3 linked regions of the Macaca mulatta genome follow. Each later gene encodes a partner of the first gene's protein in a complex. Links are inferred from orthologs where the notes say so. Each region holds a gene or a part of one and is shown on either strand. Other genes may lie near its edges. The genes, in order: ITGB7, ITGAE and FLNA.

Evidence for each region.
Region 2: the proteins of ITGB7 (region 1) and ITGAE are in contact, whole or in part, in a cryo-EM structure (PDB 8ZJF), measured with the Homo sapiens proteins. The link is inferred for Macaca mulatta from reciprocal best matches to the Homo sapiens genes ITGB7 and ITGAE. Residues at the interface, in NP_000880.1 of Homo sapiens: Val201, Leu202, Pro203, Ser206, Thr207, Val208, Pro209, Ser210, Lys211, Arg213, His214, Cys216, Pro217, Arg219, Leu220, Glu221, Arg222, Leu255, Asp256, Ser257, Pro258, Thr291, Phe292, His293, Thr294, Ala295, Gly296, Asp297, Lys299, Leu300; in NP_002199.3 of Homo sapiens: Phe36, Leu38, Arg91, His92, Arg93, Gly94, Leu111, Arg113, Leu118, Ser119, Ser120, Leu122, Glu196, Glu198, Arg230, Tyr233, Glu234, Phe237, Glu238, Cys239, Asn240, Ser259, Gln260, Val262, Met263, Leu266, Arg300, Leu401, Gln403, Phe406.
Region 3: the proteins of ITGB7 (region 1) and FLNA are in contact, whole or in part, in a crystal structure (PDB 2BRQ), measured with the Homo sapiens proteins. The link is inferred for Macaca mulatta from reciprocal best matches to the Homo sapiens genes ITGB7 and FLNA. Residues at the interface, in NP_000880.1 of Homo sapiens: Pro776, Leu777, Tyr778, Lys779, Ser780, Ala781, Ile782, Thr783, Thr784, Thr785, Ile786, Asn787, Pro788; in NP_001104026.1 of Homo sapiens: Thr2263, Gly2267, Ala2268, Gly2269, Gly2270, Leu2271, Ala2272, Ile2273, Ala2274, Val2275, Glu2276, Gly2277, Pro2278, Ser2279, Lys2280, Ala2281, Ile2283, Phe2285, Phe2311.

What each region holds. Positions count from the first base shown.
Region 1 is NC_133416.1:60,331,498-60,336,589, forward strand, and holds part of ITGB7 (integrin beta-7), read right to left. Parts: coding exon 5,088-5,092; intron 4,378-5,087; coding exon 4,219-4,377; intron 3,912-4,218; coding exon 3,816-3,911; intron 3,655-3,815; coding exon 3,565-3,654; intron 2,574-3,564; coding exon 2,427-2,573; intron 2,116-2,426; coding exon 1,922-2,115; intron 1,582-1,921; coding exon 1,358-1,581; intron 1,137-1,357; coding exon 917-1,136; intron 765-916; coding exon 556-764; intron 250-555; coding exon 89-249; intron 1-88. UniProt on the Homo sapiens protein: Integrin ITGA4/ITGB7 (alpha-4/beta-7) (Peyer patches-specific homing receptor LPAM-1) is an adhesion molecule that mediates lymphocyte migration and homing to gut-associated lymphoid tissue (GALT).
Region 2 is NC_133421.1:5,243,673-5,248,764, forward strand, and holds part of ITGAE (integrin alpha-E), read right to left. Parts: intron 4,162-5,092; coding exon 4,008-4,161; intron 3,034-4,007; coding exon 2,883-3,033; intron 1,793-2,882; coding exon 1,725-1,792; intron 889-1,724; coding exon 719-888; intron 1-718. UniProt on the Homo sapiens protein: Integrin alpha-E/beta-7 is a receptor for E-cadherin. It mediates adhesion of intra-epithelial T-lymphocytes to epithelial cell monolayers.
Region 3 is NC_133426.1:160,543,774-160,548,865, reverse strand, and holds part of FLNA (filamin-A), read right to left. Parts: intron 4,171-5,092; 5' UTR 4,055-4,170; coding exon 3,682-4,054; intron 880-3,681; coding exon 631-879; intron 528-630; coding exon 430-527; intron 334-429; coding exon 186-333; intron 1-185. UniProt on the Homo sapiens protein: Promotes orthogonal branching of actin filaments and links actin filaments to membrane glycoproteins. Anchors various transmembrane proteins to the actin cytoskeleton and serves as a scaffold for a wide range of cytoplasmic signaling proteins.

The sequences.
Region 1 (5,092 bases):
CAGGCGCTGGGGGAACCCAGTGGGAGGAATCAGGGATGGGCTTGTGGTGGGGAGACAGCTAAAAGGGGGCCTAACCAGGAAGTTTCACCTGCTTCCAGTTGAGTTGTTGCTGCTCCTTCTCAAAGCGACTGTATTCCCGGCGGTCATAGATTTCCACCGAGAGCCGGTAAGCCAGGACCAGCCCCAGCCCCACTGCCACAATGCCCCCTACGCAGCCCAGCACAATGGCCTGGGTGTGGTCTGCTCCCTCTGTGAACAAGAAACCAGACACACTTGTGGGAGCTGGAGCATAGGGACAGATCAACAGTTGTTCACGGTGTGTCCAGCCTGTCCAACCCTGTCACTGAAAGCAAAGGGAACCCAGCAAGGTCCAGGGTTATTCTCACTGCCCAGGGCCTTAGCCTTGTCCACTTGCTCAGTCGCCTCTGCCTTTGTTCTGGATTCACAGTTCTGCCTCAGCCCCCATCCTGTTTCCCATTATCTTCACTCTGCATCCCCAGAGTTGAGACCCTACCCATCAAACTTCCAGGGTTTGTGGCATCCCTGACCACTTACTTTCTTGGGGTCTCACTCTGAGCACGACCCTGCCTCTGGCGTCATCCTCCACCAAGAAGAAGAACAAGTGGTTGTCCAGGGTCCTCTCTTTGCACCAGCCATCATCCAAGATAGGGGCCAAGACCAGGGTCACATTGGTATGGGCACAAGCTGTACTGCAATTGGTGGCCAGGAGGCCAGTCCCAAAGGCCCCACACTCTGCACAGTCCCTATGCAGTAGATGCCAATAAGTTACCAGCTGGGTAGTTGTCACCCAATGCCCTTTACCCAACTACAAGCAGGAAGGAGAGTAGGCAGATGGGAGTGGCTCAACAAGCCCCACTGTGCCCCTGCTCCCAAGATGCAAGACCTGAGGCCTCACCGGTGTCTCTCACATGGTGTCTTGCAGCCTGGGCATTGGTCACATAGAGCACCGTAGTAGCCATCCGAGCACTGGCAGCGGTTGCATTTGCAGCGTCCATGCCCACTGCAGAGCCCTCCCTCGGGACTGATGCAACTGTCCATGTCCCCACTGCATTCGCATGCTCTGCCCGTGCGGTTGGCATGACAGTGACATACTCCACATTGGCAGCGACCAAAGCCTGGGGTAGAGCCATGCAGAGGGTGACAACCATACTCCACACACACAGTTGGCCATCACATGGCACCACAAGCGCATGCATCCAGTCTTTTTCAAGTATGCCAAACACACTCTCTAACCCATACACCAGAATCTTTGACATTTGCCTTCCATGCCAGGAGACTCCCAGAGCCTAAGTGCCTTGGGAAGGCCTCTCAGACCCTGCCCTTCTCCCCAAGGTACCTCCACAGAGGATGCCCTCATGTCGCTCACAGCTGGCATCGTCACACTCGCACAGATGTCCAGAGCTCTGTCCATTGCAGCTGCAGTGTCCACATTGGCACTGACCCTTTCCGCTGCATAGGGGCCCTGTGCCATTGGGAGCCCGGCACCCAGATTCCAGATCTAAGGAGGACAGCTCAGCCTCAGAGCACTCACAGAGCCGGCCTAGGCGGCCGGGGGCACAGCTGGGAGGGGAAGGCAAAGGAGGGAAGTAGGTCAGAGGGTTTGATCACCCCTGACTTGTCTCTCCCAGGAACCTCTAAACCCAAGTTCTCAAGAGTTGGAGAAAGACAACTGAAGGAATAAGTATAGTGGAACACCGACGAGGGGTGAGAGAGTGGAGGGAGCCGCAGTCAAGAGGAGGGCCTGAACATATCTGGGAAGCTTCAAGGGATGAAATTGAGTGGGGAGTCTAGGGATGTCAAGGATACTCCTGTGGGGGGAATGGAAAGCAGCGGAGGAATACGGGCCAGGGTTGGTCGTTTGTTGTCAGCCAGCTGGGTGAAGGGAAGAGGAGGCCCTCACCTGCATACCCCACATTGTAGGTGTCCCTGGCCATCACTGCAGTGGGGAGCCTGGGCCTGGGTGTCACTGCAGTTACAGTCACACAGCGTGTGCAACTCCACAATCAGCTCCTCTGAGAAGCCAAGGGCCCGGAGCCTCAGGAGATGGGGCTCTGGGAGGCAGTGGGTGGCTTGGAGGGAAACCCAGAAAGTCACCTAAGAACAGGGTAGGCAGGAATCAGGCCATGGTTATACAAACACACCAAACTCACCCAGAACCTCACCCCTTAGATCATCCAGAACCTCACCCCTTAGTAAATGAAGAGATGGGGTCATGGTAACACCCAACTCCTAGAAACTTTACCTGAGGAAGCCACTCAGACTACTTCAGGAAGGATGGATGGAGGATTACCCCAGGCTCTCCCATCACTCCCCATTCCTGCCCCCCATCTTTCCCTGCCTGCTTAATTTCCCACTCCCACCTCCCCCTGCCCGCCCGCCTTCTGCCTGTGCTTGCTGGCTCTCACCGTCTGGTTGATTTGGACATGGTTGCACTGTCCTCGATCCTCAGCCTTACCCTCCGTCTTCTCAGGACCCTCACACTGGGATTCGTAAGAAATGTGGACCCCAGGAGGGAGTGAAGAGTGTTCAAGGGTCACAGTGGAAGACAGGCTCTATGGGAAGAGAGCAAGTGGATAACCACGTGAAGGCAGGAAAGGACCCCACCCCCACCTTATGTCCTCTCCAGGTGTTCCCAGTTCTGCCAGCACCCTGCCCTCTGCCACCTGGGGCTCCTTACATTCTGCCCAGTCGAGGCATTTCTGGAGGGAGGACCCATGAGAACCTTGCATAGAATATACAGGATCCAGAGGCCTCTAATACAGCATTTCAGTGCAGAGACCATGTTTGTGAAGCCCCACATCAGGACACATAACCTGGGTGCATGCCAGGTCTAAAGGGCAAATTCATTACAGAGTTTGTCTTGGGAAATTTGATACCGTCTCAGATTTTTTTGCCATAGGTTTAGGAGATGCTCTGTTATCAGGAAGCCTACAGCCTAGTTGCAGAGATAAGACCTAAACCACTAAGAGTTTTTATGGTTCCTTCTACCTGTAAAATTCTATGGTTCTTGTGAAAAATAGCTCTGAATTATTTATAAACATAGTGAAAGCAGGCTCCAGATCTCACATTGTTTATGTACAGACTGGGGAAAAATGCCAGCCCTTCTGTTTGTTATCTTTGTGACCTTGGACAAGTCACTTAGCCTTGTGTGGGTTTCCTCCTCTGTAAAAGAGGGATGATAACAGTTACGAAGCAAGGCTTTTGGCAGGGTTAAATGAAGTAGAAACAGTATGTACACCTAGGATGGTGGGTGTGTGAAATAAAAGCTCAGTGACTGAAACTTTCCTGGCAGGCTGCACTCTGCCAGGTGAGGAGGTGGGGCGGGGATCTGAGCTCCATGCTCTCTGCACGTCAGATGTTTAAGATTTATGAATGTAAGATTGAACAATTAATGACAGCCACATGCAGACTATAGGTAGGAGCTGTGGAATGTTAGACCAAAAAGTGACCATTTCCCCTTAGTTCTGCCACCCCACCCAAGGACCCCTTTCCACCTTTCCCTAGTGCCCACCCTCACCATCTCCCCCTCGTTTGGCCCCTCACATTATAAGCATCCATGATGAGCTGTACCACATTGCTGGAGTCCTCACTCAGCTCCCCAACCGCAGACTTAGGAATCAGCTTACTCAGCTCCTGAGTTATAGGGAGTTAAGGGAAATGGTAGGTCACAGCTCTAGGAAAATGGGCTCCTGGGGGTCTGGAAGGAGGGCATATGGGGGACAGAGAATGGATCTTTGGGGGAATTGAGAAAGGCTGGGGTGGGGCTGGGGATCTGACATGTAGACAGCTCTCACCTGGTAGACAGGCAGTGCAGCACTGGTGACAGCAAAGATGGGCTGGATGTTTGCTGCAGAGAGGGCCTGGGCTACCTGACCCACAGAGGGGTAGTCCTAGGGCAGGGAGCAGGGACAAGGTGAGCCCCACAGGTCTCCCCCACAACATGCAAGGTGCCCTCAGCCTGGGGAATCCAGGAACCAAGGTTCCACCAGCTGGAGGAGCCCTGGAGGCTTGCTATGGAATAGGAAGGAGGTAGGGAAAGGTGTCCTGTCTCCACAGCTGAAAGGAGGAACTGCTGGGGAAGATGGCAGCTGTCTACAGGGTGGTTACTGGTGAGGACTGTAAGGCTGGGAGTGGGAGTCCTGGAAGGAAAGAGGTATGGCTCAAATGGGGAGAGGCGGGGTGACTATAGGGACTCACAAACTCTGTGCTGCGACTGTAGAGGCCATTGCTGTCCAAGTGGCAGTGCCCATCACTGGGCATGAAAATGCCACCCAACTTCCCGTCCCCAGCCGTATGGAATGTGTCATCTGAAGTGAACACCAGCAGCCGGGACACATTTCTCCAGCCAATCTGCTCCTGAGGCACAGTGGGGGTGGTAGGCTATGCACCTGAGCATGGCCCTTGAGCCACCCCAGCCAGCTCTGTGAGCCAAGAATGTGGCAAGCCTCACTCTGAGTCAGCTTGTCCATCCCCTTGCCTACAGTACCTTGCTTTCTCCTGCTCTCCCCAGTCCCCCAAAGAAGGCTGCTGCTAGTGGAAGCTTACTTGTGAATTAGAAAAACATGCCTTCTCCTCAAGATACTCTCCTCAAGATACTTTACTCCAGGCCGGGCGCGGTGGCTCAAGCCTGTAATCCCAGCACTTTGGGAGGCCGAGACGGGCGGATCACAAGGTCAGGAGATCGAGACCATCCTGGCGAACACGGTGAAACCCCGTCTCTACTAAAAATACATAAAAAACTAGCCGAGTTGGCGGGCGCCTGTAGTCCCAGCTACTCGGGAGGCTGAGGCAGGAGAATGGCGTGAACCCGGGAGGCGGATCTTGCAGTGAGCTGAGATCCGGCCACTGCACTCCAGCCTGGGCAACAGAGCGAGACTCTGTCTCAAAAAAAAAAAAAAAAAAAGATATTTTACTCCAACCCACTAGGTAATTGTTAAAATAAGTATACAAACTACACCTACTATGGTATGAATGGCACCCCCTAGAATGGTGCACTATACAACCATAAGGGGCAGTCCCATTCCCAAACAGACCTCCAGGCTCAGATCCCCACCCCACCTCCTCACCTGGC
Region 2 (5,092 bases), on another chromosome or scaffold:
CATGTGACCGACCAGGTCTCGCCCTCATTTGGAAACCTCAAGTACAGCCCAATGCGCAGCCTCGGTGTCCCCATCTGGGCCCCACCCTCACCCAGGTGACCTCCAGGCCCCGTCCTTCCCAGGTAATCTCCAGGCCCCGCCCTCACCCAGGTAGCACCCAGGCCCCGCCCTCAGCCAGGTAGCCCCACAGGCCCCGCCCTCACCCAGGTAGCCCCCAGGACCCGCCCTCACCCAGGTAGCACCCAGGCCCCGCCCTCACCCAGGTAGTCCACAGGCCCCGCCCTCACCCAGGAAGCCCCCCAGGCCCCGCCCTCACCCAGGTAGCCCCCCAGGCCCCGCCCTCACCCAGGTAGCCCCCCAGGCCCCGCCCTCACCCAGGTAGCACCCAGGCCCCGCCCTCACCCAGGTAGCACCCAGGCCCCGCCCTCACCCAGGTAGCCCCCCAGGCCCCGCCCTCACCCAGGTAGCCCCCCCAGGCCCCGCCCTCACCCAGGTAGCCCCCCAGGCCCCGCCCTCACCCAGGTAGCCCCCCAGGCCCCGCCCTCACCCAGGTAGCCCCCCAGGCCCCACCCTCACCCAGGTAGCACCCAGGCCCCGCCCTCACCCAGGTAGCCCCCCAGGCCCCACCCTCACCCAGGTAGCCCCCCAGGCCCCGCCCTCACCCAGGTAGCACCCAGGCCCCGCCCTCACCCAGGTAGCACCCAGGCCCCGCCCTCACCCAGGTAGCCCCCAGGCCCCGCCCTCACCCAGGTAGCTGTACTGCGCAGCCTCCCCGTCCACCGCCGCCGCCGTCTGGTTCAGGAAGCGACCCCGGCGGCTGCGTGTGTTGTAGAGCAGCGCGCCTCCGGACCAGTCAAAGGCCCCGACGGCGCCGAGCAGCACCTGCCGCTGAAGGGGACGGGGATGGGGCCCAGATGAGTGGGAGGGACCCAGGGCCGGGCCACGGTGGCAGCGGGTCTCTGGGCCAGCGCGGCTAACCTGGCTGGGAGAAGGGGGGCGTTCGGTGGCCTAGTGCCCGTCTGGCCAGAGATGCAGGTGCGAAGGTGAGATGGCCAACCCTGGGCTCCTGCCTCGTGCCCTTGCACTCCCGCCTCTGGGAGAAGCAAGCAGCTTGGTTGGTAGGCTGACCCAGGCCGAATCCTGTTGACTGGGGAGCAACTGGATGTTTGAGCACACAGAAAAAATCCACCTCCTGTCATCAATATGGCCACACTTCTGTCTATCTCAGTGGTCCAGATTAAGGTGAGCAGGCAGAAATATTTCCCTTTATCCTAAAATGGCTCTTTCAGGCCGGGCGCGGTGGCTCAGACCTGTAATCTCAGCACTTTGGGAGGCCGAGGCAGGTGGATCGCCTGAGGTCAGGAGTTCGAGACCAGCCTGGCCAACATGGTGAAATCCCGTCTCTACCAAAAATACAAAAATTAGCTGGCCGTGGTGGCAGGTGCCTGTAATCCCAGCTACATGGGAGGCTGAGGCAGGAGAATCACTTGAACCTGGGAGGCAGAGGTTGCAGTGAGCTGAGATTACACCGCTGCACTCCAGCCTGGGCGACAGAGCAAGACTCCGTCTCAAAATAAATAAATAAGTAAAATAAAATGGCTCTTTTAGAGGAATCATCACAGGGAGAGCAGAGCTCTGGATGGGAGGCAGGAGTCCCTGAATCCTAGGTGTTCTGGGCCCCTTCCCAACAGGCGAGCCTGCCTGGGGCTGAGTCAGCCACATACCTCATCCAGGATCTGAGCACTGAAGCCGATCTGTGCCAGCTGGTAGTGAAGGGCGTCTCCAACCGTGCCTGCAAGCCAAGAAGCCCAGTGAGACTGCTGTGGGCGGAGGTGAAGGGAGAAACGGAGGCAGGGGACAGTCCAGCTTGGCCTCAGGGAACCATGCTTGGTGTAACAGGAAGAGCACCCGGTTGAAGGTAGAGACCCAGGTTCTCCTTGAGCAACTACTGTCTGGGCAGTTCGCTCTCTCTTTCTAGGCCTCAGTTTCCTCGTCTGGGAGCTCCTGGGAGAAGGGACTACGCTCCAGTCATCCTTGTTTCTCCAGCACCAGCTCAGTTCATCAGAACTTCATGGAGATTCTGGGACGCAAGAGGTTGGAGATATTGTTGCCTTTTTTTTTTTTTTTTTTTTTTTTTGAGACAGTGTCTTGCTCTGTTGCTCAGGCTGGAGTGCAGTGGCTCAATATCAGCTCACTGCAACCTGTGCCTCCCAAGGTCAAGTGACCTGTTGCCTTAGCTTCCCAAGTAGCTGGGAATACAGGTCACGCACCACCACGCCTGGCTAATTTTTTTTTTTTTTTTTTTTTTTTTTTTTTTTGAGATGGAGGCTTGCTCTGTCACCCATCCTGGAGTGCAGTGAGGCGATCTTGGCTCACTGCAAACTCCGCCTCCTAAGTTCAAGTGATTCTTCTGCCTCAGGCTCCTGAGTAGCTGGGATCACAGATGTGCACCACCATGGCCGGCTACATTGTTTTGTATTTTTAGCAGAAACAGGATTTCACCATGTTGGCCAGGCTGGTCTTGAACTCCAGACCTCAGGTGATCCACCGGCCTTGGCCTCCCAGAGTGTTGGGATTACGGGCGTGAGCCACCACACCCGGCCCCAGCTAATTTTTGTTTTAGTAGAGACAAGGTTTTACCATGTTGCCCAGGCGGGTCTCGAACTCCTGGCCTCAAGCGATCCACCCGCCTCTGTCTCCCAAAGTGTTGGGATTCCAGGCGTGAGCCACCACACCCGGCCATTGCCTTTTTAGACATGGAACAGCTGAGGCTTAGAGAGATGATGGGAGTTACTCAGAGAAACCACATGAAGATGGGACAGAGGCGGGGCTGGAGCACAGGCTGGGGTCTCCCGTGGTGGTGTGGGTCCTGGAGCCCTCACCTTCCATGCTGATGATGTTGTACCGCAGTTTGCTGAGCAGCCCATCCAGCGCCATGTAGTTAGTCACCTTGAAAGCGTGGGTCTCATCCGGGTCTGAGGCGATCAGGTTGAGTTCCCTCTCAGTCCTAGCACTCTTAAATTCTTCTCCCACCTGCACAGGGGGCCTGGGTCAGTGAGTCAGCACCGCGAGGATTCCCCAGGCCCAAGGAGAGAGCTGAGCCCCTCCCCCTGACCTCTGGGGCCCTCCATTACCTGCCTCCTTTCTTCCTTTCTCCTCCTTTCCCTGCTCCCTGTTCTACACACACTCTGGGCAAAATTCCAGTTTTACCAAAGTACACTTGTTCTCCTGAACACACCGAGCCCCTCCTCACCTCTGCACATGCTGTTTCCTCTGCCTGCAGGGCCCCTCTCTGCCTCCCCTGTGCCCTAAGCAGCTACTCCCGTTCCCTCTGCCTGCGGGGCCCTCTCTGCCTCCCCTGCGCCCTAAGCAGCTACTCCCGTTCCCTCTGCCTGCAGGGCCCCTCTCTGCCTCCCCTGCGCCCTAGGCCAGCTACCCCCGTTCCCTCTGCCTGCGGGGCCCTCTCTGCCTCTCCTGCGCCCTAGGCCAGCTACCCCCGTTCCCTCTGCCTGCGGGGCCCTCTCTGCCTCCCCTGCGCCCTAAGCAGCTACTCCCGTTCCCTCTGCCTGCGGGGCCCTCTCTGCCTCCCCTGCGCCCTAGGCCAGCTACTCCCGTTCCCTCTGCCTGCGGGGCCCTCTCTGCCTCCCCTGTGCCCTAAGCAGCTACTCTCGTTCCCTCTGCCTGCGGGGCCCTCTCTGCCTCCCCTGTGCCCTAAGCAGCTACTCTCATTTGTCTGGCAGGACTCAGCTCGGCACCACGGTCCTCCAGGAACCTTCCTTGGTGCGTTTCCTGTGGGCTCTCCCGTCACTATTTGGCCAGGAAGCTGTGACCACCATGGGGAAATGGGCCCTCTCTGGGATGACAGGGCATGGGGAGAAGGGGAGTGTTTGCGAACAGAACAGGGTCTGGATAAGCTGCTTACAGAGAAGCCCCCATCTACAACCCTGACTCCTCCCCACCCCAGGCTGAGCAGGGTCAGGAGGGGCCTCCCGGCTCCTGGCTCTTACCCCAATGGCAAAGCGCTCAACACCATGCATTTTAGGGGAGTTGATGACTGTCGTAAGGTCGAGGGGGTCCTCGAATATGCCACCATCAGTGAGCACCACCATGACCTTGGATGCCTTTCTTCTGGAGCCGTGGCTTGAGGTGAAGATGTTGTCTCTGAGCAGGGGAGAGTAAAGGAAGAAGAGAGCTTTGCCAGAGGCATGACCGCCTCCAGGAGAGACTTCATTCTCTGACCTGTATTAGAATGGGGAGGGTTCACAATCCTCCCAAAAGACCCAAAGAAGGGGGTGATGCCCCCTTAAGTCACACAGCGAGGCTAGGCAGAGGGAGGGCTGTAACACAGGTGTTCTTCCTTCTCACCTGCTCCCAGCAGAAAGGTGCTGGCTGGCAGTCTCTTCCTTTTGTGTGCATACAGGAAGAGTAATGACATTAAAATGATAGATAATGCTCACATGGCATTTATCATGTGTCAGGCACTGCTGTAAACACTATATATATATATAATTTTTTTTTTTTCTTTTTGAGACGGATTCTCACTTTTTCGCCCAGGCTGGAGTGCAGTGGTGCCATCTCGGCTCACTGCAAGCTCCGCCTCCCGGGTTCACGCCATTCTCCTGCCTCAGCCTCCGAGTAGCTGGGACTACAGGCGCCCGCCACCACACCCAGCTAATTTTTTTGTATTTTTAGTAGAGACGGGGTTTCACTGTGTTAGCCAGGATGGTCTTGATCTCCTGACCTCGTGATCCACCCGCCTCGGCCTCCCAAAGTGCTGGGATTACAGGCGTGAGCCACGACGCCCGGCCAACACTGTATATTTTAACCCATCCAACCGCCACAAAATCTACCAGGTAAGTGCTATTATTTTTCTTTCTTTTTTAGAGACAGCATCTCACTCTGTCACCCAGACTGGAGTACAGTGGTGTGATCATGACTCACTGCATCCTTAGACTCCTGGGCTCAAGCAGTCCTCCTGCCTCAGCTTCCTGAGTAGCTGGAACTATAGGCACAAGCCACTGCTCCAAGCTGTGAGTCCTATTATCATTCTCATTTTATTTATTTATTTTATTATTATTATTTTCTTGAGAGA
Region 3 (5,092 bases), on another chromosome or scaffold:
ATTCTCTTGCCTACTCAGTGGAGTGTTGCCGCTAGTCCCGACCCACTCCTGTCTGACTTTTGGGTGGCCCGATCACCTAGCCACCATGTAACCCAAGACCCCTCGGGACCTCCACGTTTGGATGGGACACTGTCTTACGGGTAAGACATTGGCACATGGGTGCACCCCTGGCTGGGCTCCCTCACCTGGCCCGTAGGCACGGGCTTTCTTCGGGTTCAGTTTGGGCCGCAAGGGTGCCCCTGGCTTCAGCTTGGCCTTGGGGAACTGGGACAGGTAGGTCATGACAGAATGCTCATCCACGTTGGGGTCCACAATCTCCTCGGGGGTGATCACCTGTCACGGGCAGAAAACAGGAGCCATCGGGCCTCCGAGTCTCTCCCAACTGCCGATCCGGTCCCCTACAGCCGCAGACAGGCCGGGCAGGTGTACCTGGGGGATGCCCAGCCAGTCATCCGCCTGCTGCATGGCCTCTCGTGCATTATTCACAGGCTTGCTGGCATCCCAAGAGTCCCAGTCAGGACACAGGCCTATGGCACAAGGAAGGCTGTGAATCCGGGGGCTACAGAAGCCCCTCAAGGGCCACCCATGGGCGACCCCAGCCCAGTCTCTCCTGCCTCTGTGCCCCCTCACCCGGGGCACAGCTGTCGACCAGGGCACCCAGGGCCCGGCCGCTCTGCCAGTCTCGGCTGAAGTTGGTGATGGGCAGCTGTGGCAGCTTGTTCTGGATCCAGCCCAGGAGCCTCTGCTTGGGGGTCTGCTTCTTGGCCTCCTCATCCTCCTCCTCATCCCACATGGGCATGGAGATGGAGTAGTGCAGGATCAGGGTCCAGATGAGGCCCAGGATCAGCTTCAGGTTCCCGTCCACGATGGCCTTGCTGTCTGTGAGTACAAGAGTGGCTACACTGGGCACACAGCTGTGCGGGAGGGGCCGCTCCCAGGCTTTGGGGTCATGGTCTGGTAGCACGGGATGGGGGGGCCAAGGAGGAGGGAGACACCCCGTCTTGACCAGTGGTAGGATGTGGATGAGGCCCTCTCTGCCCAGCATCCCAGGGGGTGTTCAGAAGTAAAGGAGACTTTGGGGTGAGGGGAGATACCCACAGACATGCGATGATAGCAGGGTATGATTACTGCCAGAAGCCCTGGGCCCAGAGGAAGGGCAGAGGGCAGACCCAGCCCACAGATGGTCAGCTCTGGAGAACAGCTGGACAGTGTCCACAGCTGCCAGAGCAGGGGTCTGCCACCCGCCTCAGGGGCCTATGGGGAACCAGGAGGAGGAGATTGGCTCCAGCTGGCCCAGAATCCAGGGCCCATGGCCTGGAGTGGGGCTGGGGCTGAGGAAGAGGAAGACGGGTGGCCCTGGGTGGTTGGGAAATACAACTGTTGTTCCAGGGTGGGTGGGGTGAGGCAGGGGAAGTGGGGGAGTTGGGCAAACACCCTTTGGGTAAAGGAGTGTGACCCCCACCACCACCTCCACTTCCTCTACTACCTCGAAGACCCAAGCTTGGAGCTGGGAGGCCACAGGCCCGGCCAGGGGAGAGGCCCAGAGCCCAAAGGAACCAGCAGTTGGGCCACATGGCCCTGACTCACTGGGGCCCATCGGGAGATGCCGGGCTGGCAGCAGGAGACACTGTGGGAACCCCCTTGCCACCCACTGCCTGACCCACTTGCCACCTAACGGGCCTGGGCCTCGGCAGGCTCGCCACAGGGGAAGTGGTTAGGGCGGGTCCCCGACACCCCCCCCATTGCCATGGCAACCCTGCTGGGCTCTGGGCCCCACCCAAAGCTACTTCTGGGTCTCAGGCTCAAGGCAGGATGGTTTGGGCTTTCTAAGAGCTCATCTTTAGAAGCTCTGTCAGCCTCTCCCATAATCAGACAAAATACTTCTCTGGTGAGTCAACTAGGGGGTGGGTCTATGAGGAGGGGCTGGGCCGTCCACGGCAGCTGCTTCCCAGCCCAGCAGGCAGCACCTGGAGGGCCAGGTGGGCCGCTCAAAGTAGAGTGGCCTCCCCAGTTCCCAGATTGGTCCTGGCCCCACGAGGCTGCCTTTCACTCTCCCTAAATGGCAGCGGGGAGAGGGGCTCAGAGAGGACTGAGGGTGCAAGGCCAGGGAACAAGGCCAGCCAGGGCTTCCCATCAGGCCCCCACCCCAATCCAGCCTGAGACCCCTTAACGACCCCCACACCGGGGGCAACCAGGCCCACCAGGTCCATGTTAGGCCAACCTACTCCGTCCCCATCCCCCTCCCAAAAGAGAGTGTGAAGGACCAGGGCCCAGGGCTGGGAGACTGCCTGGCTGGATGGCCCCGCCCCATCCCACCCCCTTTCCCCAGCCCCCGGGCCAGCCAGCCCCTCCCTCCCCTAATCACTGCTGCTTTCCAACATTTTTTTGCCTTATATGGCAAAGCTCTGGGAACTAGGCCTGCTCCAGCCAGCTCACAAGGAGGAGGGGAGCTGGGAGGAGGGAGGAGACCCCCCCCAAAGAACTGGGGTGTGGCCCGCCTCCCCACATCCGGTCGCCCCCCCCCCACACCATCCAGGACTCTGAAATGACTCAGCTTGGCTAGACTGAGGCTGGGACTTGGGGGGGTGGGCCTGCCCCTCGCCTCAACTGGCATTCCAAAGAAAGAACTTCAATTCTTGGGATCTGCCCTCTGAGTGGCTGGGGGAACCCAAGTCTTGGTCCCTCACTTTCTTGGGTTCAGCAAGGGCCATTCCAGAGCTGCAGGGATAACTGGAAGGCCTCTCAGTTCTGAAGAAGAGAAGAATCATCATCCCTCTCCTCTCCCTGTTCAACGTCACCCCCAAGTCACCCGTTCTGGTGCCTGCCCTTCCAAGCAGCCCCTATCTTGAGAAAGAACTGGGATGCTGCAGCAGGCCTGGTCAATGCCAGCCTCACCAGTCCAGTGACACAGACACTGGGCTGGCACAGTGCACGCCGGAGCATCTACCAACCAACTCCTGCGTGCTATACGCAGAAAAGCAAGGCCAACATGGAAGCAAGAATTTGTCCCAAGATGAACAGAAAAGTTGGCGTCCAAGTAGTCTACAAGCCAGGTCCCTCAGTCAACCACGCCCAACTCCGGGTACAGTTTTGCTAACTACGCTTCTTTCTGGCCCCCAGGTTCCCTGTGTGTGTGGGGGAGGTAGATCTAAACTGGTGGTTGGAGCCATCTCCGATGGGCGACGCATCCTCCAGGGACAGAAAGAGCCCAGAGTCCTAGACAATGGGACGCACGAGCTCCAACCCACACTTTAGAAACAAGGGGAGTCTGAAGCCAGAGGGCCCTCTCTAAACAGCTGTGGGGGGAGAGCCTGGGCCTCCTCCTCCTCGAGGATGGGGCGCAGGGCCAGAGCCTGCCCAGTGCCCGACCCCCCAGGCCCACTCCCACCGCGAGCACATCTGCGGGGGCGCGGCCTGCTGAGGATGTGAGTTCAGCCTGGGCGCCGGCCAGCCGGGGCGCGGCGGGCGGGGGCGCGTAGCGGTTCGCACGCCCGGCCGGCCAGCCCGCCAGCCCGCGCGCCTTTGTTCTCCAGGCCCGCGTGGAGCAGACCAGCCGGGGGCCTCGGGAGCTGCGCCGCAGCCCGGAAGGAGGTGGTTTGGAGGGGTCCGCCCGGGGGGATGGAAGGACGCACGGAATTCCCGCCCCCGCCCGCCCGCCCGGCGCTTCGGGGCGTCCCTCACCGATGGACACCAGTTTGATGCTCTCGCGGTCCAGGAACTCGAGCGCCACCGACACATTCTCAAGCTGCATTTGGCGGAAAGTGGGCCGCTGGTTGTGCTTGCGGTGCATCTTCTTCTGGCTGAGCACCTCCAGCAGCGCGATGAGCCGCAGCCCGTCGCTCAGGTCCGTCTGCAGGTTGGCGATGCGCTTGCTCACGCACTTCAGGTGCTCGTTGCACCAGCGCGTGAAAGTGTTCTGCTGGATCTTCTTCCACGGCGCGTCCTCCGCGAGGTCCTTCTCGGTGGCCGGCATCTCCGCGTCCCGCGTGTCAGCGCCACCACCCGGAGCCGCGCCTGCTGCGCTCTGGCCCGCCCGAGAGTGGGAGCTACTCATTTTGAGGCGCGAGAAGCCGGGGGGGCGGTGCTGCAGCCTCGGCGAGGGGACGGCCCTTTAATTAAAGTCGCAGGCACCTCGGCGCGCGGGAGGCGAGGAAGGAAGCAGAGGTTGCGCTGCGGAGAGAGCGAGCCCTTTAAATGCGGGCGGGGGGCGGGGCCAGGGGGCGGGCCTCCTGCGGGGAGGGGCCGTGGGGTGGGGCTTCGGGGGCGCGACTGCCCCACCCCGCCCCGCCCGTTGGAATGCCCCCACTAGGCCCCGGGCTTTGGCTGATCAGACGTGAAACCCGGGCTCCGGGGTGGGTCGCTGGGCCCTGGAGTGGGCAAGGATGCTCCCAGCCCCGCGGCCTCGCGTTGGCGCTGCAGGAAACGCGCCCCAGAGCGAGGAAAGGCTGAGCAGTATCTGGCGCGGGACTGCTTGGCCTGCAGCCGGCGCGCCTTACAAGGGACTTTCCTTCCCCAGGGCTCCTGCGAGGGGTGGGGTGGTTCTCGTCCCTAAGTCACTTGGGCTCTGCCCCGTCCCTGCACAACCCTACCCTCCCACCGTCATCCCCTTTCCCCGGGCCCCCAGGGCCTAGGGTTCCCGGGCGGCATCCCGGTCCGCCGCCCCGGCAGCGGCGGGAAGGGGCCAACCCTAAGAGCGAACCCCTGGAGAGCGGCGGCCCCGGACCAGGCACTGCCGAGGGCCCTTTGTGTGCGCATCACCTGGGAAGCGGCTGCAGGGCAAGGCCTGCGCCTACGCGGTCCCCGCAGACCCCCTGCCACGGGCCTGCCTTCCCAGTCTGTAGGGCCCTCGCCTGCGCACCTGTGCCCGCTGCTTCCCACCGCCTCCCTCTCTGCTTCCCTCCACCCGGGAGGATATGGGGCACTGGGCCAGGAGGCCGCCGACACTCCAGGAGCAAGTAACCTTTGAAGGGGTCCGGGCGTGCCAACGGGCACGCCAGTGGGCGCGGGCAGAGGGTGCCGTGCGATGTGTGCAGAGACGTGTGCCCGCCTAATCATTCATGCCAGTTCACCCGGGGCACTGGGGGGAGTTGAA